3 linked regions of the Callithrix jacchus genome follow. The protein of the gene in region 2 interacts with the protein of the main gene of each other region in a pairwise test. Links are inferred from orthologs where the notes say so. Each region holds a gene or a part of one and is shown on either strand. Other genes may lie near its edges.

The links.
Region 1: the proteins of ATF4 (region 2) and TRIB3 interact in binary tests that used the Homo sapiens proteins (3 or more experiments, as listed by UniProt). The link is inferred for Callithrix jacchus from reciprocal best matches to the Homo sapiens genes ATF4 and TRIB3.
Region 3: the proteins of ATF4 (region 2) and SNAP29 interact in a two-hybrid assay, tested with the Homo sapiens proteins (2 studies listed by BioGRID and IntAct). The link is inferred for Callithrix jacchus from reciprocal best matches to the Homo sapiens genes ATF4 and SNAP29.

Annotation. Positions count from the first base shown.
Region 1 is NC_133506.1:8,139,858-8,147,647, forward strand, and holds part of TRIB3 (tribbles homolog 3), read left to right. Parts: intron 1-2,702; coding exon 2,703-2,995; intron 2,996-7,666; coding exon 7,667-7,790. UniProt on the Homo sapiens protein: Inactive protein kinase which acts as a regulator of the integrated stress response (ISR), a process for adaptation to various stress. Inhibits the transcriptional activity of DDIT3/CHOP and is involved in DDIT3/CHOP-dependent cell death during ER stress.
Region 2 is NC_133502.1:190,270,055-190,278,198, reverse strand, and holds ATF4 (cyclic AMP-dependent transcription factor ATF-4), read right to left. Parts: upstream 5,419-8,144; 5' UTR 5,228-5,418; intron 4,632-5,227; 5' UTR 4,540-4,631; coding exon 4,314-4,539; intron 4,213-4,313; coding exon 3,383-4,212; 3' UTR 3,298-3,382; downstream 1-3,297. UniProt on the Homo sapiens protein: Transcription factor that binds the cAMP response element (CRE) (consensus: 5'-GTGACGT[AC][AG]-3') and displays two biological functions, as regulator of metabolic and redox processes under normal cellular conditions, and as master transcription factor during integrated stress response (ISR).
Region 3 is NC_133502.1:193,240,711-193,248,500, reverse strand, and holds part of SNAP29 (synaptosomal-associated protein 29), read left to right. Parts: intron 1-2,231; coding exon 2,232-2,317; intron 2,318-4,640; coding exon 4,641-4,739; intron 4,740-7,790. UniProt on the Homo sapiens protein: SNAREs, soluble N-ethylmaleimide-sensitive factor-attachment protein receptors, are essential proteins for fusion of cellular membranes.

The DNA of each region.
Region 1 (7,790 bases), on a different chromosome or scaffold from region 2:
GACATTCTAGTGGGAGATACAGACGATAAACAAGTGAATAAGTAAAACATGTGTCAGGTGGTCGGGCGCAGTGGCTCACGCCTGTAATCCCAGCACTTTGGGAGGTAGACGCCGGTGGATCATGAGGTTGGGAGTTCAAGACCAGCCTGGCCAATATGGTGAAACCCTGTCTCTAATAAAAATACAAAAATTAGCTGGGCATGGTGGTGTGCACCTGTAGTCCCAGCTGCTTGGGAGGCTGAGTCAGGAGAATCACTTGAACTTGGGAGGTGGAGGTTACAATGAGCAGAGGTCACACCATTGCACTCCAGCCTGGGCAACAGAGCAAGACTCTGTCTCAAAAAAAAAAAAAAAGAAAGAAAAAAATGTGTCAGGTAATCATAAGCACTATGGAGAAAAATAAATCTGGGAACAGGGAGATCAGAGGACAAGGAAGGCAGGAGTGCAGGTGATTTTAGCAAGGGAGGTCCAGGAAGACCTCTCTGAGGGGTGATGTTTGAGCAGTGACTTGAACAAATGGAAGGAGTCAGCCTCGTGGTCTAGTGGAAGAGCATCCAGGCAGCAGGTTCAGCAAGTGCAAGTGCACGTGGGCAGGAATGTGCTCGCCCCAACTAAAAAAAATGTAATCTCTGTTTTGGGGTTATTTCCCCCATGTCACCCCAACTGGTTTTTTTTTTGTTTTTTTTTTGTCTTATTCTGTCACCCAGGCTGGAGTGCAGTGGCATGATCTTGACTCAATGAAATCTCCACCTCCCAGGTTCAAGTGATTTTCCTGCCTCAGCCTCCCGAGTTGCTGGGATTACAGGTGCACACCACTATGCTTGACTAATTTTTGTATTTTTAGTAGAGACAGGGTTTCACCATGTTGGTGAGGCTGGTCTTAAACTCCTGACCTCAAGTGATTCTCCCACCTAACCCTCCTGAAGTGTTGGGATACAGGTGAGCCACTGCACCCAGCCCAACTGGTTTTTAAAGTCATGTACTTCAACTTTTTAAATCATGGATTAAATATATATGTGTCTCATTTATTTTTCTTCATGGCATAGTCAACACAACATGCAAAGGATTTAAAGTCAGACAAAAAGAAGTGAGTATACTAGTTCTGCCACTGATCGGCTGTCTGGCTTCTAATAAGTCATTTCCTTTTCTGAACCCAGTCTTACCATTGGTAAAATGGGACACACATTTCAGGCTAGGGCGAGGTTTTGCTGTGATGCCCATAGACCCCTAATACATTTCCCATCAACCTCATCACCTTCATCCCATGTTCTTTTTCCCTTCCTCACCCCTTTGATTTTTGGTTGGGTTTTTAGAGCAGGCCAGGTTTTTTCCTGCCTCAGGGCCTTTGCACTGCCTATGTCCCTACTCGGAAAGCTTATTCCATGGGCATCTCTGGGTCATTCAGATCATTTCCCCAGAGTCCCTGTTGAACCATACTTTCTAAAATGGGTGCCCCCTTCCAAAATACTCTATTCCAGACCACACGCAGTGACTCATGCCTGCAATCCAGCACTTTGGGAGGCCAAACCGGGCAGATCACCTGAAGTTGGGAGTTCGAGACCAGCCTGGCCAACTTGGCAAAACCCTGTCTCTACTAAAAATACAAAAATTTGTCAGGCTTGGTGGCACATGCCTATAATCCCAGCTACTCAGGAAGCTGAGGCAGGAAAAATCACTTGAACCCGGGAGGCAGAGGTTGTAGTGAGCCAAGATTGTACCACTGAACTCCAGCCTGGGCAACAAGAGCAAAACTCTGTCTCAAACAGCAACAACAAAAAGAAAACAAAACGCTCTATTCCTGCATCTTTCTTGGTTCCTTTGCGATACTCGTCCACATTTGTCAATATTTAGTTTCGGGGCACTGGCTTCCCAGTGGGCATGGGGGAGCAGAGTCCATGACTGTCAGTGCGGTTGGACACACAGCTGGCCATGCAGGCCCAGGGCCAGCTTGCTGAATAAAGGTTGGCAGTCAAGCCTAGAGGACAGGAGCTGTGAGGGTGATGGGCATCAGGTGCCTTCTGCATCATCCGCTCTTCTGGAAGATGCTTTGAGGGTTATTTTTCCGTTTGAGTGATTTGTTATTTTTCAGTTATCTGATGTTTGAGGCCATATAGCATAGCAGTTAGGAGCACAAACAAAAGGCCGAGCATGGTGGCTCATTTCTGTAATCCCAGCCCTTTGGGAGGCTGAGGTGGGAGGATCACCTGAGGTCAGGAGCTTGAGACCAGCCTAGTCAATATGGTGAAACCCCATCTCTACTAAAAATATAAAAATGAGCTGGTTGTGGTGGCGCATGCCTATAATCCCAGCTACTCGGGAGGCTGAGACAGGAGGATCCCCTGAACCCAGGAGGCCAAGTTTGAAGTAAGCTGAGTTGTGCCACTGTACTCCAGCCTGAGTGACAGAGCCAGACTCTGTCTAAAAAAAAAAAAAAAGCACAGACAATGGTGTGCACAGGTTCAAATCCCAGCTGTGCTGCTTGCTGGCTGTGAGGCCTCTCAGCTTCCTTAACTATAAAACGAAGCGAGTCCTACTTATAAGACTGTGGTAAGGGCTGAATGACTTGGTAAGTGAAGCACTTAGTGCAATGGCTAGCACATGGTAGTGTCTAACAGGTCAGCTGTGACTGTTTGCAATGTTTGCAATGCCAGCCTCAGCTCCCGGGAGTCCCCAGCTGTGCTCACATCATGCTCTGCCCACAGGTGTACCCCATCCACGAGGCCCTGGCCGTGCTGGAGCCCTACGCGCGGCTGCCCCCACACAAGCATGTGGCTCAGCCCACTGAGGTCCTGGCTGGTACCCAGCTGCTCTATGCCTTTTTCACTCGGACCCACGGAGACATGCACAGCCTGGTGCGAAACCGCCGCCGCATCCCTGAGCCTGAGGCTGCTGCGCTCTTCCGCCAGATGGCCACCGCCGTGGCGCACTGTCACCAGCATGGTCTGGTCCTGCGTGATCTCAAGCTACGTCGCTTTGTCTTTACTGACTGTGAGAGGTGAGTGTGGTTGCAGAGATCCCAGCCACAGACAGACCCAGGGGGTGGGCCATGATGGAGAGAAACTGAGGCCCAGGAAACAAAGTAACTTAGGTAAGAAGTAGAGAGGCTGGAGTAACTAGCAGCCCCTGTCTGGTAACCAGAGAAGAGTTGACTCAGGCTGGGTGGGTGCCGTGGCTTATGGCTGTACTCCCAGCAGTTTCGGAGGCCGAGACGGGTAGATCACCTGAGGTCAGGAGTTCGAGACCACCCTGGCCGACATGGTGAAACCATGTCTCTACTAAAAATACAAAAATTAGCCAGGAGTGATAGCTGACAACTGTAATCCCAGCTACTCGGGAGGCTGAGGCAGAAGAATAGCTTGAACCTGGGAGGCAGAGGTTGCAGTGAGCCAAGATTGTGCCACTGTACTCCAGCCTGGGCAACAGAGTGAGATTCCATCTCAAAAAAGAAAAAGAGTTGATGAAGTCCTCTTGGGGGCTCCTTGGGATGCTGGGATGGGGCACTGAGATGGGAAAGTCACAGTAGCTGACAGTGAGGAAAGCACCGCCGCATTATCTACCGTGGTCTCCTTCCTTACAAACTCAAGGAAGGCATTATTATTATCCTCATATGATCAAGGAAATTGAGGCCCAGAGAGCACAAGTAACTTGCCCAAGATCTCACAGCGAAATAAATGGTAGACCTGGGATTTGAACCAGAGCCTGGGTCCTATTTCAGTCTGAGCTAGAGGGACAGGGGTCCTGGCTGGGCTTACCAACTGACTCTGGGTGACCTAGTGTCTCTGAGCCTCAGTTTCTCCATTAGTAGGGAAAAGGGCTGGATTGTTAGGGTGTTTTCAGAATTCCAAGACCACACTCAAAACAAGACAGGGTCTGAGGTTCCCCACACAGGAACTTTTTCTGTGAAACTGAGAATTAGCACTTTTTGGTTAAAATTTAATCTTCCTTCTCTAGGTTGGGAAGCTAAAATTTTTTTTTTAATTGAGACAGAGTCTCCCCCGTTGCCGAGGCTGGAATACAATGGCGCAATCATGGCTCACTGCAACCGCTGCTGCCCAGGTTCAAGTGATACTCCTGCCTCAGCCACCTGGGTACCTGGGACTACAGGCACGCACCACCATGCCTGGCTAATTTTTTTCTACTTTTAGTAGAAATGGGGTTTTGCCATGTTGGCCAGGCTGGTCTCAAACTCTTAACCTTAGGTGATTCACCTGCCTTAGCCTCCCAAAGTGCTGGGATTACAGGTGTGAGCCACCACACCTGGCCTAGATGCTAAGAAAAATTTTTAAAAGATAATTCTTCTGGGGGTGGGGAGGGCAGAGGGACTCACCTCCTGAGGGCATCCAGGATGTGTCAGGGAGTGCACTAAGCTGCCAGTTACACAGAATTTTTCTGTGGAGGAAGGAGTGTGACCCCAGCACACTTTTTAAAACTTTTTATCTTGAAATAATTTTAGACTTTTAGAAAAGCTACAAAAATAGTTCCAAGATTTTCTAAAAATCCTTCCCCCAGTTTCCTCCAATGTTAACACTTGCCATAGCCATGGTACAATTACTCAAACTAAGAAATGAACCTTGGGAGAGTACTATTAACTAAGCCACAAATTTGTTCCGGCTTCCCGAGTTTCCCACGAACACCCCTTGCTGTGCAGGATCCAGTGAGGATCCCGATTTAGTTATCAGTGGTTTCCTTGGCCTCGTCTAATCTGAGACAGTTCCTCAGTCTTTCCCCGTCTTTGATAACCCATGATTTTTTTTTTTTTTTTTTGAGATAGGATCTCACTCTGTCACCAAGGCTGGAGTGCAGTGGTGTGATCATAGCTTACTGCAGCCTTGAACTCCTGGGCTCAAGTGATCCTCCCACCTCACCCTCCTGAGTAGCTGGTTTACAGGTGTGTGCCACCATGCCTGGCTAATTGAGATGGGGTCTTGCTATACTGCCCAGGCTGGCCTCGAACTCCTGAGCTCAAGCAATCTGCCCCCCCTCAGCCTCCCAAAGTGCTGGTATTATAGGTGTGAGCCACTGCTCCCACCATAACCTTGAGACTTTTGAAGAGTACTGATCAGTTACTTTGTATGTCCCTCAATTTGGATTTGATTGACGTTTTCTTAAAGTTAGATTGCAGTTTTATATATATATATATATAATCTCTTTAGAGATGGGGTTTCACCATGTTGGTCAGGCTGGTCTTGAACTCCTGACCTCAGGTGATCCACCCACTTCTGCCTCCTAAAGTGCTGAGATTACAGGCGTGAGCCACCGCGCCCAGCCGTGGTTATATATTTTTGGCAAGAACAACACAGAATTGATAGGTCCCTCTCCACATCATATCATTGAGTTGATAGTCATTACTGTGTTGTAACCTTGATCACTTGGTTAGGGTAGGACCTGCCAGGTTTCTCTCCTCTAAGGTTTTTAATTTAGCCTTTGTAATGGATAAATACCTTGGGGTAGGTAAGCTAAGCATATAAATATCCTGTTTTTCCTCAACTTTCCCCTACTAATTTTAGCAGCCATCCATCTTGCCTGTAGCAGTTATTACTGTGGTGCTTGCCTAAGACTAATTTTCTTTTCTTTTAAGACAGTCTCGCCCTGTTGCCCAGGTTGCAGTGCAGTGGCATGATCCTGACGCCCTGCAACCTCTGCCTCCTGGGTTCTTGCGATTCTCCCGACAGCCTCTTGAGTAGCTGGGATAACAGGGACACACCACCACACTTGGCTAATTTTTGTATTTTTAATAGAGATGGGGTTTTGCCATGTTGGCCAGGCTGGTCTTGAACTCCGGACATCAAGTGCTCTGCCTGTATTGGCCCAAAGTGCTGAGATTATAGGTGTGGGCCTCCGCGCCCAGCCCCAAAGGCTGATTTTCTATTAATATTTCCTTTTACATTTTATAGTAAAAGAAGCATGCCTTTTTTAAAGAAGTAGAATTTATAATGACTTTTAAGCTAGTGCATAACTTCAAACATATTTTAAGCTCAGAGTAGATACAACTACCCCAGACCTTCTGGAAGAGAGAATGTGCTTCCTGCTCTTTTTAAGAAATCATCTGATGGCTCATACCTGTAATCCCAGTGCTTTGGGAGGCCTAAGCAGGAGGATTGCTTAAACACCACAGTTCGAGGCCAGCCTAGGCAACATAGTGAAACCCCATCTGCACAAAAATTTAGAAAAATTAGGCAGGTGTGGTGGTGCACACCTGTGATCCCAGCTACTTGGGAGGCTGAGCGCAGACGTTTGAGGTTGCAGTGAGCTAGGATTGCATCACTGCACTCCAGCCCAGGTGACAGAGTGAGACCCTGTCTCTAAAGAAGAAAAGTCACATGAGAGGCACTGGTAGAAGAGAGACCGTGAGTTAGATAGACCTGTGTTTAAATCCTGGGTTCTGCTTCTGACCGGCTTTTTGGCCCCGAGAAATGACTTCACTTGCCTGAGCCTTTGTATCTTCATCTGTAAAATGGGCCAATAATGCTGACACTCCTCGTCCCTCAATACTGTGATTCATAGGATTGGTCGGTATTTGTGAAATGCCAATGGACACCCAGGAAGTGGTGCCATAAAGAAGAAATGAATAGCAGTGGTAACAGAATGATTGCTATGAAAGTCATCTTAGAGTGCTCTGTTTAAACTAGAAATTGCAAATGGCAGGATACACTTTTTTTTTTTTTTTGAGATGGGTTCTCACTCTGTCCCCCAGGCTAGAGTGCAGTGGAGCTATCACAGCTCACTGCAACCTCTGCCTCCTGGGCTCAAATGATATCCTCCTGCCTCAGCCTCCCAAGTAGCTGGGACCACAGGCGTGAGTCACCACACCTGGCTAAGTTTTGTATTTTTTGTAGAGATGGTTTCACCATGTTGCCCAGGCTGGTCGTGAACTCCTGAACTCAAGTGATCCACCTGCCTCGGCCTCCCAAAGTGCTAGGATCATAGGTGTGAGTTACCGCGCCCAGCCTTACACACACTTTTCTTTTTGCCCTGCTCCTGTTCGTGTTTTTTATTGAAACTCATTGCCAATATTTTTTAAATGGGGACTTTTTCATTAAAATAGGATTCCTGACTCTCTTGGGGAAAAGAATGGGAACATGGGGCCACCTTGAAAACTACGAGAGTGGGTCACAGCACTGGCTCTGGGTATCTGCGAGCCAGGGTTCCCATCCCAGGCTGATGCTCTAGAGCTGTAAAACGGTGTCCTTGCACGTTGTAGCCTGGATAGAATGAGATAAGCCAGGTAATAAGCTGGGCCAAGGGCGAAGAACACAGCGGACACTTGATAAACCCTAGAATGTGTCGTTGGTGGTGCCCTTTTTAGGCAGGGCTTGCGCTGAAATGTCTGGCACTCTTCCCTAAGTTTGGACCCTAAGTTTGCATCTGGTTTAAGAGAGGCTTAACTCTCTAAGCCCCATCAGTCCCCTTCCCAAGGGACTGTTGAGAAATTTATTCCGTTCAGAATGTTAGTTTAAATTTAATTGCTCTGTGGCCTTAACTGACTTAACCTCTCTGAGCCTGGGCTTAGTTTTCTGGAAAACAGGATCAGACATCAAAAGACTGACTTGTGTCTGTCAAAGACCAGCAGGCACTTGAAAGTGGGTGCCACTAAGGTGACAGTATGGGGTAGTGGCATGGGGGCTCTGGGTGGGACTTGACCCTTATGTTTCTCCCCATGTCCCAGGAAGAAGCTGGTGCTGGAGAACCTGGAGGACACCTGTGTGCTGACCGGGCCAGATGATTCCCTGTGGGATAAGAACGCATGCCCAGCCTATGTGGGACCTGAAATACTCAGCTCACAGGCATCA
Region 2 (8,144 bases):
TTGATTTTTTTTTTTCTTTTTGAGACAGTCTTGCTCTGTCACCCAGGCTGGAGTGCAGTGGTATAATCTCAGCTCACTGTAGCCTCCACCTCTCAGGTTCAAGCGATTCTCCTGCCTCAACCTCCCGAGAAGCTGGGACTGCAGCCACCATGCCCAGCTAATTTTTGTATTTTTAGTAGAGAAGAGTTTCCCCATGTTAGCCAGGCTGGTCTTGAACTCCTGACCTCGTGATTCACCCACCTCAGCCTCCCAAACTGCTGGTATTACAGGCATGAGTCATGGCACCTGGCCAGGGACTTTTTATTTCTACCTGGCCTCTTTGAAATAAAAATCATGCTCCTCCCCTGGTTTTCCCCATCTCGGGAAATGGGCCCTCCTTTGTCTTGCTCTGGGGGTCCCCTCACACCCACATTCTGGCCGCCTCTCCTTGCTGATCCCAGCCCAGTCCCCTGAGGTTCCCTGAGTACCCGTCTTAAGGAGCATGCCCAGATGCCCACTCCCAACCCACCTGCTGTGTCACATCTTTCTTCTTTTTAGGGTCCCTCTGTCTCCTTTATCAGAAGCAAAGCTGCATGAGGGCAGGGTTTGTTTTGTTTGTTTGAGACGGTGTCTTGCTCTGTCTCCCGGCTGTAGCGCAGTGGCACAATCTCAGCTCACTGCACAGGTTGTTTATCTACTTGGCTCACGGGAATAGTAGAAAAGATGAAGGTTGTTCTCTGCTTTCCACAGCCTACAGCCTTGACATAAAGCAGGAGAAAATGCTGAGAGCCAACCACTCCTGCCTGTGAGGCCCCTTCCTATCCCCTGGGTCCCTGGTCACTGGATAAAACCCAGCTCCACGTCTGACCTGGTCAGCCCAGGCTGGGCTAGCCAAGGCCCGGCAGGGGCCACAAGTTGCCACATGCAGGGTGGTGGCCGGACATCAACCTCATCCCTGCCCCCTCTTCCCATACCCCTGTTGTGCTGGGCTCTCTGGAACAGACACCTGCCCAGCCAAATGCAGAGGTCTGTCCAGGTTGCTATCACTGCCTATACCAGCTGCCGCTGGGCCAGTGTCTACCCCCAGGCCAGGCTTCCCAAGGGTGCCTAAGTCTGGGTCTCAGCTGCATCAGCAAGAGGGGGACAGTCATAAGACCCTCCACTGCCTCTCAGGAGGACTCTGAGCTCATCACTGGAAGGCACCTAGAGCCCCAGAGCTCTTTGAACATGTTCGCTGCAGTCATTTTTGCTATTTCCCAGGCACTTCTGTAGTCCTGGAAATATGGGAATGAACAAGACAGCAAAATATCTGCTGTCATAGAGTGAGTTTATATTGTAGTTTGCGAATGGAGAAGAGAAAGTGGATCTGTATACAGATAAACTCAATGGAGAAAAAGTTATGAAAAAAATACAACAGGGCAAAGGATAGTCTGGGACATGAGCAGGGTCACCTTGGAAGGCTCCTGCAGTAGCATCAGACTGAACAGGGTGGGAGGCAGCCAAGGGAAACTCTCAGGCAGGGAGAGCAGCAAGTGTAAGGCTCTGAGGCAGGACCCAGCCTAACAGACAGATGGAGAAAAGGCTGGAGTACAGTGAGGGGAGGAGGTGAGGTCAGGGAAGAGGGCAAAGCCATTGTGGCCTGAGCTGGTGCCTTCTGTGTCTGGGAGGCCTGAGCTGCAGGGGCCTGGGAAGGGCACAGCCCCAGCATCCTGGCTTCACACCACTGGCCCACACTGCCCTTCTTGGTGCCTGTTTCTCATCTGCCAAATGAGGGCCGACCCCCACTGGCACTGGATGACTGATATCACACCCTACGCCTATTTAGAACCTGGATGTGGATGGAAGCCCATGGCCTTTGGAGAATTCTAGAATCTCGGCAGGAAAGACCTCTAAGAGCACGAGGTCCAAGACCCATGTGTGATGCCCACTCCCACTGGTGCCTTGGGCAACTTCTTTACGAGTGGCATGCAACACATCCACAGCTGGCTCTCAGGTGACAGTCTATGCTGGCCATGTGGGCCCCAGCATGCTGGTCATTACAGGCCATTTGTTTCCAGCTCAAGAGGCAAAATGAAGAGCCCAGACTGGAGATCGAGTCCTGGGTTCAAATCCCAGCTCTACCTCTTTGCTCAAAATCCTTCTGGGTGAGCTGGGCGCTGTGGCTCACGCCTATAATCCCAGCACTTTAGGAGGCGATCACCTGAGGTCAGGAGTTCAAGACCAGGCTGGCCAACATGACAAAAACCCCATCCCCACTAAAGATACAAAAATTGGCTGGGCGTGGTGGTAAGCATCTATAATCTCTGCTACTCAGGGGGCTGAGGCATGAGAATCACTTGAACCTGGGAAGCAGGGGTTGCAGCGAGCAAGTGTGGTGTCTGCGCCATTAGATTTCTGCAGGGACTGGATTAAAGGACACGCATGCTGTGCTGTTAGAGCAGTGGCTGGGCTGCACTCACCCTCACTCTCCTCCCAGACGCTCCCCGGACACACCTGGTCTACACCACCTTCCACATGAGGAAAACTGGTTTGGCTGATACCCAGACACAAAAGGCCAGATCTGCCCAGGCTGGGCTTATCCTTGCATTCAAGCATTCATCCACAACCCAAAAGGCATTGCCTGCCTGAAAAGGCAAATGCGCCCCACCCACGGGTAAGTCTGAAACTGCAGTGAGATACTGCCTGGCTTCTAAGTGCTGCTCCATCCTAACATAACCCGAGGACATCAGGCCTTCTAGTTTAGGTAGCGGCAGGCACAACAGCCTTCACTGTTGCCTTAGTGCCCAGCTCTAACCAGAACCTGTGCAGAATGTCGTATTTCCACCCCCAGGTAAGGAGAAAGAGGCCTGTCTCCAGCCCGCGTCCTGCTTCAACATCAAGTCCCAAAAGGAGCTGTTTCTCAGAGGCTTCTGCAGAACTGTTTAGGTTATAAGTGAAACCTAATCCTACGTGCTCACCTCAAGGAGTGTGCAACCTTGCCCAGGGTTTTATGTGACAGGATGTTGGCACGAAGGCCTTGAACACACAGGTGAAGGCCCAGGCTGTTCCTCCCTTCAAACCGCCTCCCTACCTGACCAGCACTCAGCTCTGGCCAAAACCCAGCTTGCTACAACCAGCTCTAGAGAGCCCCATCAAAGTCATCAGCCACCATGGTCTACACCTAGCAGGGATAAGCAAATCCCACCCTGGGTACAAATCTAGTCTTAGACTGCCCTCCTCCCCAGATTGCACAGGGCACATTAAGACCAGCATGGGGCAGGCGGATGGTAGCGGTTTCACTCTGTTACTGTGCCAAAAGGAATTACACACATGGAAGTATTCACTACAAAATAATTTATTCACACACACAGCTACAGCGAGAGACTCCTATGTACAAGCACCTTGCGCTCCTGACTACCCTCAACTAGGGGACCCTTTTCTTCCCCCTTGCCTTGCGGACCTCTTCTATCAAATCTTTCAGGTATTGGATCTCCTTGGCCAAGGAATCTGCCCTCTCTTTTAGAGCTTCGTTCTTCTTTTCCAGCTCCTTACACTCACCAGTGAGGGCCTCCTGCTCTGCCCTCTTCTTCTGGCGGTACCTAGTGGCTGCTGTCTTGTTTTGCTCCATTTTTTTCAGTTTCTTATCCAGTTTCTCACCCTTTACTTTTGCTGCTACCATTTTCTCTCCAGGAGGGTCGTAAGGTTTGGGACGGGCAGAGTCACAGAGGACACCTGGAGATGTGAGGCTCCTATTTGGGGAGCCCCTGGCAGAGGGGCTATGCTGGGGGGAGCCCAAATAGGACTCTGGGCTCATACAGATGCCACTATCATTATCTGAGGGGGTGTCTTCCTCCTTTATGCACTGCGGGATCATGGCTATGTAAGCAGTGGAGTCTGACTTCGTATCTCCTTCAGAGATACCTACTTCACTGCCCAGTTCTAAACTAAAGGAATGATCTGGAGTGGTGGAGAGGACCCCGGGGGATAGGGGAAGAGGTTCCAAGAAGGTGAAAGGGGCAACCTGGTCGGGTTTTGTTAAACTTTCTGGGAGATGGCCAATTGGGTTCACCGCCTGGGGGGGCTCCTTATTAGTCTCCTGGACTAGCGGGGCAAAGAGGTCACATGTGTCATCTAACGTGGCCAAAAGCTCATCTGTCATGGTTTCCAGGTCATCTGTAGCCAACAGGGAATCAAAGTCAAACTCTTTCAGATCCATTTTCTCCAACATCCAATCTGTCCCGGAGAAAGCATCCTCTGCAAAAGATACGAGTGATGGGCCCAGTGAGTCAGACACAAAGATAGCAAGCCCCTAACCCCAGATCCCACCTGGATGTGGCTGGTGGCAGCCTACTCACCCTTGCCGTTGTTGGGGGCACTGACCAACCCATCCACAGCCAGCCATTCGGAGGAGCCCGCCTTAGCCTTGTCGCTGGAGAACCCATGAGGTTTGAAGTGCTTGGCCACCTCCAGGTAGTCATCTAAGAGACCTAGGCTTTCCTCAGCCCCCAAACCCGACTGGTCGAAGGGGGACATCAAGTCCCCCTCCAACACCTCGCTGCTCAGGAAACTCATCTCGGTCATGCTGCGGTGCTTCGCTGGAATCGAGGAATGTGCTTAATTCGAAGGTGTCTTTGTCGCTTACAGCAACGCTGCTGCTGAATGCCGTGAGAAGCCTGAATAAGAATCAGAAGCCAAGTCCCATTACGTTAGCTGATCTAAGAATTTCATCTTTCCACTTATGAGGTGGGACGGCTAAACCGGCCATCTAGAGACAGGGCAGATGTATTCCCCCCCCAGCCCCCCTCCCCCCGCTTCCAGCTCAGGTTCCACAAAATGGACGATCGTGGAGGACCGGCCATTCCCTCACTGGCCAACAGGAAAGCGCTCCGTCTCCGCGTCCAAATACGGCCAGGGCGGCTACGCCCCGCCCACCGCCCGCCCGTGACTCACGCCCGCGGCGCCGCCCTGCGGCCGCCATCTTGGCTTCTGCCACGTTTCGCGGGTGGGACAGTTGAGACCCTCAGGGAAACGTCTCGAGGTACGAGGGTGGCGAGACCCCCGGGGAAGCAGTCCTGGCACCTAGCTGCGCTTTCCCGGCCCCGGGTACGCGAGCGTCTCGGAAACACCCAAGCAGAGACTACAGCGTCCTTGGCGCTCGTAAAATCGCTTCCCTCTTGGCGGCACCGTCCCGGCCCCATGCCGCGCCCCACCAGCCCAAAACCCTCGCCGACCCAGGGAGCACGGCTGGATAGCCCGCCCGGATACTCACGCCATGGCTTAAGCCGCTGGGGTGCCGCTGCAGAGCCTGGTGCTGCTGCCGCCGCTGCAAAGGCCAACGCTGCCGCAGGCACTGCTGCCCCTAATACGCCATGGTGGCCTTGGACCCTGCGGGCGGGGAGGAGGGAAGGCGCGCACGTGCGTGAAGAACTACATCTATGAGAGAGAGAAGTAGAAATGGCCGCAGCCGCCGCCCGTCGGCCCTTTATAAAGTTCGCCTCCGCTGGAACACAGCACAGACTTATCCTTCCGCAGCAGCCACGTGACCGTCTCCTCCCGTCTGCTCGCTTCCCTCCCTCTGACGCCCCCACCACCTATGTCCGGGCGCAGCTGTGACAGGAAAAGGAATTTGTTTCTATGGCCTCATGAAAGGAGAGAGGCGCACTACTTTATTAGTTTCTATGATTAAAGAGTCCGTTCTTACCTTTGCCGCCGGAGCGCGGAGTGATCTCTCAGACACGCCTCGCTTCCGGTGTCGGCGCAGTGGGCGGGGAGAGGTGGTTTTCCCACAGAGGGTTTTCATTGTGAAGGCCGAGGCCGCCAGGTTATCGCGCGAGGTGCTGGTGTAGAGCGCGCGTCGAGCTGATTGGCCCAGGCGCGGTGAGTCATATATACCTCGAGCTCTTATTGGCTCAGGGCCCTAGGTGGGTGGCTGCTGCGAGAGGGAGCCCAGGGCTTGCGCGGGAAGGGCCGGGGTTCGGGGTTGTCTGCTCTGTCTCAGCCCCTCCCGCCTGCTAGCCCGCCATGATCGCGCCGACTTCTGCCCCCAGGTGGCCTTAGTGCCATGCGACCCACAGCGGCCTCGAGGCCCGGCCCCAGCTGTCGGTCCCGCCGCCCTCAATGGAGGTCCGCGCTGGCGGCTATGTCGCCGCTCCCAGCCTGCGCGCTTCTTCGGTGCACGCTGCGCTGATTTATGGCCTGCGGAAGCCGCGGGGTTACCTGCACCAAGCCTGAGTCTTCCAGAGACCCCATCCATAGCCAACATGGTGCTGTCCTCGGAAGGCTGAAGGGGTCTTAAGAGGGCGCCCCGTCCTCGCCTACCTGCCCGCAAAGGCCGGCTGAGTCTGCATGGCCCCTCCTAAACTCTGGAAAGGAGCCGGGAAGACGCGCCATCCTGTCGTCCAACCTGGGTTTTTACAGTTCTCATCCGGCTCAAGTGCAAGGCTGCTACGGAATTGCATCAGAGGGGAACTTCTGGTGGCCTCAGGTTCCGTTCTGTTCCCCTAGGAACAGGATTTTTCTTCGCTGCCGTCTCTCTGGGGTAGTTTCGATTCACTCCGGATTCTGAACTCCCCAGCCTAACCCGCTTTTCAGCAGTCACGTTCATGGCCCTGGGAGGAGAGGCGCCTGGGAACCCACGGCCACTTGCTGGGGGTTGTGCGTTGGGAAGGGGTAGTCTGTTTAAAGAATACAAGAAACCTCCCCATAGTCCCCCAGCTCCCTCCAGTCAGGCCCCGCGAAGGTGGAAACCTTCCGCCTCCATTTCACTGAGCCACACAAGTATTTCTATGAGCGCTGTGATACAAAAAAACCGGGGAAGCACTGCTGTAACCACAGGCCATCTGCTGCGCTCATTCAACCTCGCCCAAAGAAATCCTTTCTAATGGAGGCCCAAAGGGATGAAGCTTCTTGCTCAAAGTCACGCAGCTCCCAGTGGAAGGAGTTTGGAGTAGGAGTTGGAAGACATTTTGGGGAGAACACGCAAAAGAATCCTGGCTGGGACATTTTGGCTAAGTGACTTATCCTCTCTGAGCCTCGGTTTCCTCATTTGTAAAATGAGGCTATTGATGAGTCTCCTTACCCCATGAAGTGAAATCATACATGTAAAGCACTTAGCACAGCACCTGATAACACGTAACCAATAATGGTTGCTGTTGCTGCTACCGGTCATAGAACTCAGGTTTCCTTACCCTGACCTCTGTCACTGTCTTCATCACATCCTCCTGGTGCCTCAGAGGACTCTTCACTATTATTTACTGAAAGGAAACAACCGGTATACACAAGGCATACTGGATGCTGGAATAAAAGTATGGTTTTTCTTTCTCCTTGGGGAATCATGAGTGTCGAGATATACAGAAGCTGGTTCCAGAGCAGTGGCTCCAGCCTGTAGTCCCAGCTACTCAGGCTGAGGTGGGAGGATTGCTTGAGCCCAGAGTTCCAAGCTGCAGTGAGCTGTGATTGTAACACTGGAACTCAGCCTGGGCAACAGAGCAAGACCCTGTCTTAAAAAAAAAAAAAAAGGAAATTGTCTAGCCTTTTCATGCAAATGCAGTAAGAATCCCTGAGCCATTAACCACATCTTCCAAAGGCAGATCTAGGGAGCCACAGGACAAGACACTACTGGCCGGGCATGGTGGTTCATGCCTGCAATCCCAACACTTTGGGCGGTGTAGGCAGGAGGATTGCCTGAGGTCGAGTGTTCCAGACCAGCCTGGCCAGCATGGTGAAACCCCCGTCTCTACTTAAAAAAAAAAAATACAAAAACTAGCCAGGCATGGTGGCAGGCACCTGTAATTCAGCTAGAATTGCTTGAACCCAGGAGGCAGAGGTTGCAGCGAACAGAGATCGCACCTTTGCCCTCCAGCCAGGGTAACACAGTGAGACATGTCTCAAGGAAAAAAACCTACCTCCTGATGGATAGTGCAGATGGTTAAGAATTAAAGTAACACTTCCCGTTCCGACACTGAAAAGGTCGTGGAAGAATGACTCCATTAGCAGTTTGTCCCATACATTCTCTTATAGAGACCTAGCTCAAACACTTCAAAGGTTCCCCTAGCTGAAAATGGAGACCCAGTACCACTCCCACAGGAAAATGTTTGATCCGCCACACACAAGTCAAAGCTGTTCGAAAGATTTTATTTTCTTCTTCCCATGCTATGGAAGGACATTGTGTTCCCCAGTTTCATTTC
Region 3 (7,790 bases), about 3.0 Mb from region 2:
ATAATAGGCTGGACACAGTGGCTCATGTCTGTAATCCCAGCACTTTTTGAGGCTGAGGCAGGAGGATCACTTCATTTCAAGGAGTTTAAGTCCAGCCTGGGCAACCTGGTGAGACCCATTACTTTTTTTTTTTTTTTTTTTTTTTTTTAAGACGGAGTTTCGCTCTTGTTACCCAGGCTGGAGTGCAATGGCGCGATCTCGGCTCACCGCACCCTCTGCCTCCTGGGTTCAGGCAATTCTCCTGCCTCAGCCTCCTGAGTAGCTGGGATTACAGGCACACGCCACCATGCCCAGCTAATTTTTTGTATTTTTAGTGGAGACGGGGTTTCACCATGTTGACCAGGATGGTCTCGATCTCTTGACCTCGTGATCCACCTGCCTCGGCCTCCCAAAGTGCTGGGATTACAGGCTTGAGCCACCACGCCCGGCCAAGACCCATTTCTACAAAAAGTTTTTAAAAATTAGACCCGGCACAGTGGCTCACACCTGTAATCCCAGCACTTTGGAAGGCCAAGTCAGGTGGCTCACTTGAGGTCAGGAGTTCAAGATTAGCTTGACCAATATGGTAAAACGCCATCTGTGCTAAAAATATAAAACATTCGCTGGGCATGGTGGCATGCATCTGTAATCCCAGCTACTCAGGAGGCTGAGGCAGAAGAATAGCTTGAACCCAGGAGGTGGAGGGTTGTAGTAAGTCGAGATCATGCCACTGCACTCCACCCTGGGTGACAGAGCAAGACTGTCTCAAAAATAAAAAAATTTTTTAATTGCCCTGGTGTGGTGACACAAACCTGTAATCCCAGCACTTTGGGAGGCTGAGGTGGGCGGATCACCTGAGGTCAGGAGTTTGAGACCAGCCTGGCCAACATGGTGAAACCTCGTCTCTACTAAAAATACAAAAATTAGCTGGGCATGGTGGCGGGTACCTGTAATTCCAGCTACCTGGGAGGCTGAGGCAGGAGAATTGCTTGAACATGGGAAGTGGAGGCTGCAGTAAGCCAAGATCACGCCACTGCACTCCAGCCTAGGTAACAGAGCGGGACTGTCTCAAAAAAAAAAAATTCACCAGGCAGGGTGGTAAGTGCTTGGTCTCAGCTACCTGGGAGGCTGAGATGGGAGGATCACTTGAGCCTAGGAGTTAGAGACTTCAGTTTTTGCGCTGCTGTACTCCCTATCTCAAACAACAACAAAAACAGTAATAGTTGAGTACAGTGTTTTGGTAATATAAGTGCACTCTTGAGAAGAATGAAACCCTTAAAATTCAAAATTCATCATCTGAGGTTCAGATGGTCATCTGTAAGGCCCTTATTTGCTCATGGTTATATAAAAACAGGTGAAATTTTGTTATGTGTATTTTACCACAATAAAAATAACTTGAGACTGGGTGCAGTGGCTCATGCCTGTAATCCCAACACTTTGAGAGTCCAAGTTGGGTGGATCACTTGAGATCAGGAGTTCAAGACCAGCCTGGCCACGATGGTGAAACCCTGTCTCTACTAAAAATACAGAAATTAGCCGGACATGGTGGTACGCACCTGTAATCCCAGCTATTTGGGAGGCTAAGGCAGGAGAATCACTTGAACGAGAGGCAGAGGTTGCAGTGAGCCAAGATCATGCCACTGCACTCCAGCCTGGGCAACAAAGCAAGACTCCATCTCAAAAAAGGAAAAAAAAAACTGGGAAATAATACAAAAACAAGAGGTGGGCCAGGAAAAAAAAAAAGAACTGGGAAATAATAAAAAACAGAGGTCGGCAGGTCATTCACTGTTTGCTGACCATGGTCTAAAGTACCCGTTTGGTTGTTTCATGTGCTTTTCATCTGCCTGGTCCTAGGAATCCTGGTTTCTCTGAGAGGGGGGGCCACCTAACTCAGTGCTACTTGATGCTGCAATGTCTCACTGTGTTGCCCAGGTCTCACACTCATGAGCTCAGGTAATTCTCCCACCTCAGTTTCCCAAAGGGCTGGGATTACAGGCATGAGACACCACACATACCTTAGTTGCCACACTTCTGAGGCAGGTGTTATCTAAGTCAGGGATATTCATAAGCTTACTGCACAACCAACTGTGCTCCTGGGAGAAGCTGTTGAAATCCTTACTTTGGTCAGAAGGAGTGTGGCACAGAGGAAGCATTTGATTTGTAGCACATAGGCATTATGTGAAAAGATTGGTAACACTGTCATAGGGGCTTTTCCTTTTTTAAAAGTTTTCTTTGTAAACTTTTATCCAAAGATTGAAAGAAGCCATAAGTGCAAGTAAAGAACAGGAGGCAAAGTACCAGGCCAGTCACCCAAACCTTAGAAAGCTGGATGATACAGGTGAGTGGAGATCTGTGTGCACACCCACTTTTGAATTCTTGGGGGAGACCTCTAGGTTTGGTGTTGGTCCTTGGGAGGCAGTGGCAACCTCTCTGGGGAGGTGGGCTGGGGCCCCAGCTGCTGGCATCACCCATGCTAGCCGAACGGCCTTAGGGACCCAGCATGCTCTCGGGGACCTGGGGGTGTGCGTTATGGTGGGGCACCTCCCTCCTTCACTCCCTCCATAGAGGGGAAAATAAGGAAGTGGGGGCCTGCATTTGATTGAAAATGAGCCTGCCCAGCCTTGGGAGGTAGCACATGCCTGTAATCCCAGCACTTTGGGAGGCCGAGGCAGATGGATCACCTGAGGTCAGGAGTTCACAACTAGCCTGACTAACATGATAAAATCCCATCTCTACTAAATACAAAAAAAATTAACTGGGCATGATGGCACATGCATGTAATCCAAGCTACCTGGGAGGCTGAGACAGGAGAATCACTTGTACCTGGGAGGCGGAGGTTGCAGTGAGCCAAGATTGCGCCATTGGACTCCAGCCTGGGCAACAAGAGTGAAACTCCATCTCAAAAAATAAAAAAGAAAATGAGCCTGCCCACCATCGGTTCCTGCCTTGTGTTGCTCTGAGTTGTTCCAGCTGTTCCAGCAGTAAAAAGCCGACTACAGAAAAACCCCTTTGGTAAATAGAATAATGGTCGCCCCAAAAGTTGTCCACGTCCTAATCCCCAATCTCATGAGTGTGTTAGATTATATGGCAAAGGGGGAATTACAGTTGCAGATGGAGTTATAACTGCTAATCAACAAGATGGGAAGATTATCCTGTTTTGTCCAGTTGGGTCCATTGTCATCACAAAGGTCATTTTTAAGTGAAAAGGGAAACAGAAGAGAGAGAGGCCGAGTCAGAGATCTGAAGATGCTGCTGGTCTTAAAGATGGAGACAGGGGCCACTTACCAAGGTACGAAGGTAAGTGAAACTGCAAAAGGCAAGGAATTAGATTCTTCCCAAGAGCCCCAGAAGGAGTGCAACCCTGAGGACACCCTGACTCAGCCCAGTGTGACCCATGTTGGACTTCCAACCTCCAGAACCGAAAGACAAGTTTGTGGTCATTTGTCACAACATCAGTGAGGGACTAATACAGCCTTCAGCCCAGGCAGGAGGAGCAGCAGCCACATGAACAAGATGTGCAAGACAGTGAGTGTTGATTGAATTATCCCACTTGTATCAAGTGATAAGCCCAGAAACATTCCTTATCTGAAAAGGAATTTAAGACTCCTGGGGCCTCCTCCAAAGGCCCCCCAAAAGCCAGGTACATTGAAATTGGTGTTGGAAACCAAAGGTTTACTTTGCTGCCTTCAAGAAAACAACACACCTTGAAAACTCTGGAACCTACCATGGTTGTGGTTGATGCAGCTGAGGAGAGATCAGATGGAGGAAGAGCTGGGAGCAGGAGAGACTGACATCATCAGCACAGTTCAGTCTGGAAATGCAAGTGGAGGAAGTGAGTGTAAATTGAAAGGCAAGGGCTGGGAAAACCCGCCTCATCATACCCTGGAGAAGTGCTGTAGGACACTTCACCCAAGACACAATTTTAAGGAATTAAAGAGAGTTTTCATTTGTGTGGTATATATTAACCTGAAAGACTGAAAAAAAAAATTGACACAGTTTGCAGAATGGTTTCAGTTGGTTGATGCTGGAGGAAATATGCAAAGTCTAGAAAGTGACATTTCCCCAAAAGAGATAACTGGGATGATAGGGCTTTTCTGTGTGCATTTAGAAACTAAAGTTCATTCAAGCTGAGAAAGATAATTTTAGTAAAGAAGAAAATGAAGTTCAAGGAAGATTTCTCGGGGCAAGTGTGGGTTAACATTTCTTTTTTGCTTGTTTCAAGTGAAAAGATAGCGTAGAAATTTAGAAAAAAACAAAATTACCCATACTTCCATTTCTATAACGTAACAATTAGTATTTTTAGACCTTGTCCACAGCCTATGTAGTTTTGTGTTATTGCAGTTCCACTGGTATATCATCACTTGTGTGACTCTCTTTCCTGAGCTTGTGCACCAGTGTCTGAGTAGGTGACCCTTAGGTTGAGGGTCTTTGATCTCCCAAGGACTAAGGGAAAGCAGTAACCCTCCCTTGCCCTGTGGAAGCGTCTCTCCTTCTGACCCATGAGCCTGCCCCGTGCTCCTCCGTCATCCGTCTGGATGGCCTCAGAACCAACCCCCTCGTTCCTTCCACCCATTTTTCAGATGAAATTGTTTTGGGTATATGAAACAGCATTTGAAGAAATGTCAAGTAACTGCTCTCATGGTGTTTGCTTCTAAACTTAGACCCTATCCCTAGAGGGGCTGGTTCTGCTGTGAATACTGATGCTTACCCGAAGAACCCACACCTTCGAGCCTATCACCAGAAGATCGACAGCAACCTAGGTAAGACTGAGCACCACACCAGCTTCTGTAAGCCACTGTCCTTCAGGCAGCTCTCACCAAGCACAGCCCCTGCATCAGGAGCCTATAGCTTCAGCTCCCTCACCACACATCACATCCCACACTAAGCCAGGTCCATTTTGCCACTTCACTGTCTCTGGAATCTGTCCACTTCTCACCATTTCCTACTTCCAGCCCAACTGAGCCGTCCTTACCTCTCTTTCATGATAGCACCCAGGGACCCAGGAGTCCCTGAGAGGCCATCGAGTGTAGCCTGGACATGACCGCTCACTCCATTTTTCCCATTGGCCACTCAGAGCCCTGTTTTCCTCTTCTGTGAAACGGGATGCCTCTGAGAACAATGGGACAATTACCTGAGCCAGAAAGTGCCTGGCATGGTAAAAGTTAGCACTAGTGTTGCAATTGGCACTTTGGTGACACAGCCTCCAGCATGATGTTTCAAAACAGAAGCGAGTGCAGGGGGCTGGGCGCGGTAGCTCATGCTTGTAATCCCAGCACTTTGGGAGGCCTAGGCGAGTGGATTGCCTGAGGTCAGGAGTTCAAGATCAGCCTGATCAACATGTGAAACCCCATCTCTACTAAAAAGATAGACATTAGCCGGATGTGGTGACAGGTGCCTGTAATCCCAGCTACTCGGGAGGCTGAGGCGGGAGAATCGCTAGAGCCTGGGAGGTGGAGGTTGCAGTGAGCTGAGATTGCACCATTGCACTCTGGCCTGGACAACAAGAGTGAAACTTGGTCTCAAAAAAAAAATTAAAAGGGAGTGAGGGGGTATATTCTTCCAGAACTCTCTCATGGAACCCACACACACTCACCATGCAGTCCAGGCTCTCTCTGCCTGCCCTAGTACCTTCTGCCCTCATCACCTGCAAGCTCATGTGAGATTTCTGATATGAGTTCTTTCTGCCTCGTGACCCTTATCTGCCTGGAGTGGCCTCCTCCGACTCTGCAGGCTGGCTCCTTCTCCTGTCAGTCTTGCATTAGTGTGGCGTCCTCTCCCCATCTCTTGGGGCCCTTGTGTTTCTAGGGGGCTGCCCTGGTCATTTGTGATTGTGTATCTGCTGGTTTGCCTGCTGTCTTCCCAACCAGACTGCAGATTCCAGGCAGCATGGGAGTGTTTCCATTTTGTCACTACTTTGTACCTGGGGCCCAGCAGGCAAGCACTTAGTGATTATTTTTTGTTTTGTTGTTGCTGGTGTTTTGTTTCGTTTTTTGAGATGGAGTTTTGCTCTTGTTGCCCAGGCTGGAGTGCAATGGCAGAATCTAGCTCACAGCAACCTCTACCTCCTGGGTTCAAGTGATTTTCCTGCCTCAGCCTCCCGAGTAGCTGGGATTACAGGCATATGCCACCACGCCCAGCTCATTTTGTATTTTTAGTAGAGACAGGGTTTCTCCGGGTTGGTCAGGCTGGTCTCAAAATCCCGACCTCAGTCCCGCCTCGGCCTCCCAAAGTGCTGGGACTGTAGGCATGAGCCATCGGACCTGGCCAGTGATTATTTATTGGAGAAGTCAGTAATTTAAGTAGGTACTGGCTTGTGGGCAGTTCCGTGTCTTTGTTCTAGGTAGTGTCTCAGACTTGCTGCCTCCTCTTACCGCTGCTCCATTAACAGAAATCTCCCCCATGGTTACCTGGGTCACCCTGTTAGTCTCCCAGCCCCTGTTTGGAGCTGGCAAAGTGAAGAGGAGAAATAATAAGATTCCCACCCCCACCCCCACCCCCCGCCCACTGCTGTAAAGATATCTAGTGGGAGGCAAAACTGAAACTCATGAAGATGCACATGGAGTGTCTACGCACAGGCTTGCTCCTGCTCACTCTCTGGGAAGCCCCAGACAGCCGCCGCCTCCTTCTGTTTCCTGGACTCTGTTCTCCAGAGCCAAAGACTTCTCCGAGGTAGAAGGTGTGTCTACCCAGATCTGACTACTCCAGAGAAACCCAGAGAGGCTTGAAAGCCCTTTGTCCTTCACCAGGAGAAAGGGAGTGGTTAGAGCAGGTGGTATGGTTGGTGCCTGCTGGCAGGAAGTGGGAGAAGGGACATTGATGAAGGATACTGAATTCCAGGAGACAGGACAAAAAGCTAAGTACTGCCCGCCACTAGGGGTCTAAGGGTGCACAATTGGCACTATGGACTTGCAGCTGGGCAGGTCCTGGCAGGACGAAGTCTAGAGTAGGAGGTAGGCCAGGGCAGAAGGGCGGGTGGCTGGTTCAGAGCTTGGCCCTCCAGCCCTGCTGACACAGGTCAGGCCAGCCACTCTGGTGGGGCAGGGGGTGTTGCTTTTGCTCACACTCTTCCCATCTTAACACACCCTCCCTGCTATTTCTGGAACTCAGGCAGGCTCTTGACTCCAGTGCCCTTGCCTGGTTGCTTTACATTATCACACATTTTATCTTAGCCTCACTGTTTGCTTATCCTTTGCTGCCCTGGCTGCCAGTGAGCTTCCTCCTGAGGTCTGAGGCAACCACAGGCTCTACTCCATGGAGCATGAGGCCATGAGTTTCAGTAAGCTCCAGAAGCAAAGAGCTGAAGACTATCTTTTTTTTTTTTTCTTTCAATTTTTAAATTATACTGTTTTTCTCTTTCTTTTCTTTTTTATTGTTGCTTAGGCCAGTCTCCAACTCCTGGGCTCAAGCAATCCTCCCACCTCAGCCTCCCAGAATACTGGGATTACAGGCATGAGCCACTGTGCCTGACCTGAAGATTATCTTTTTATTTTTTTATTTCTTTTTGAGATAGAGTTTCACTCTGTTGCCCAGGCTGGAGTGCAGTGGCCCAATCTCAGCTCACTGAAGGCTCTACCTCCCAGGTTCAAGCAATTCTCATGCCTCACCCTCCCAAGTAGCTGGGATTACTGGCATGCACCATCATACCCAGATAATTTTTGTATTTTTAGTAGAGATGAGGTTTCACCATGTTGGCCAGGCTGGTCTCAAACTCCTGATCTCAAGTGATCTGCCTGCCTCGGCCTTCCAAAGTGCTGGAATTACAGGCGTGAGCCACCGCACCTGGCCTATCTTTTTATTTTATTTTTTAAATG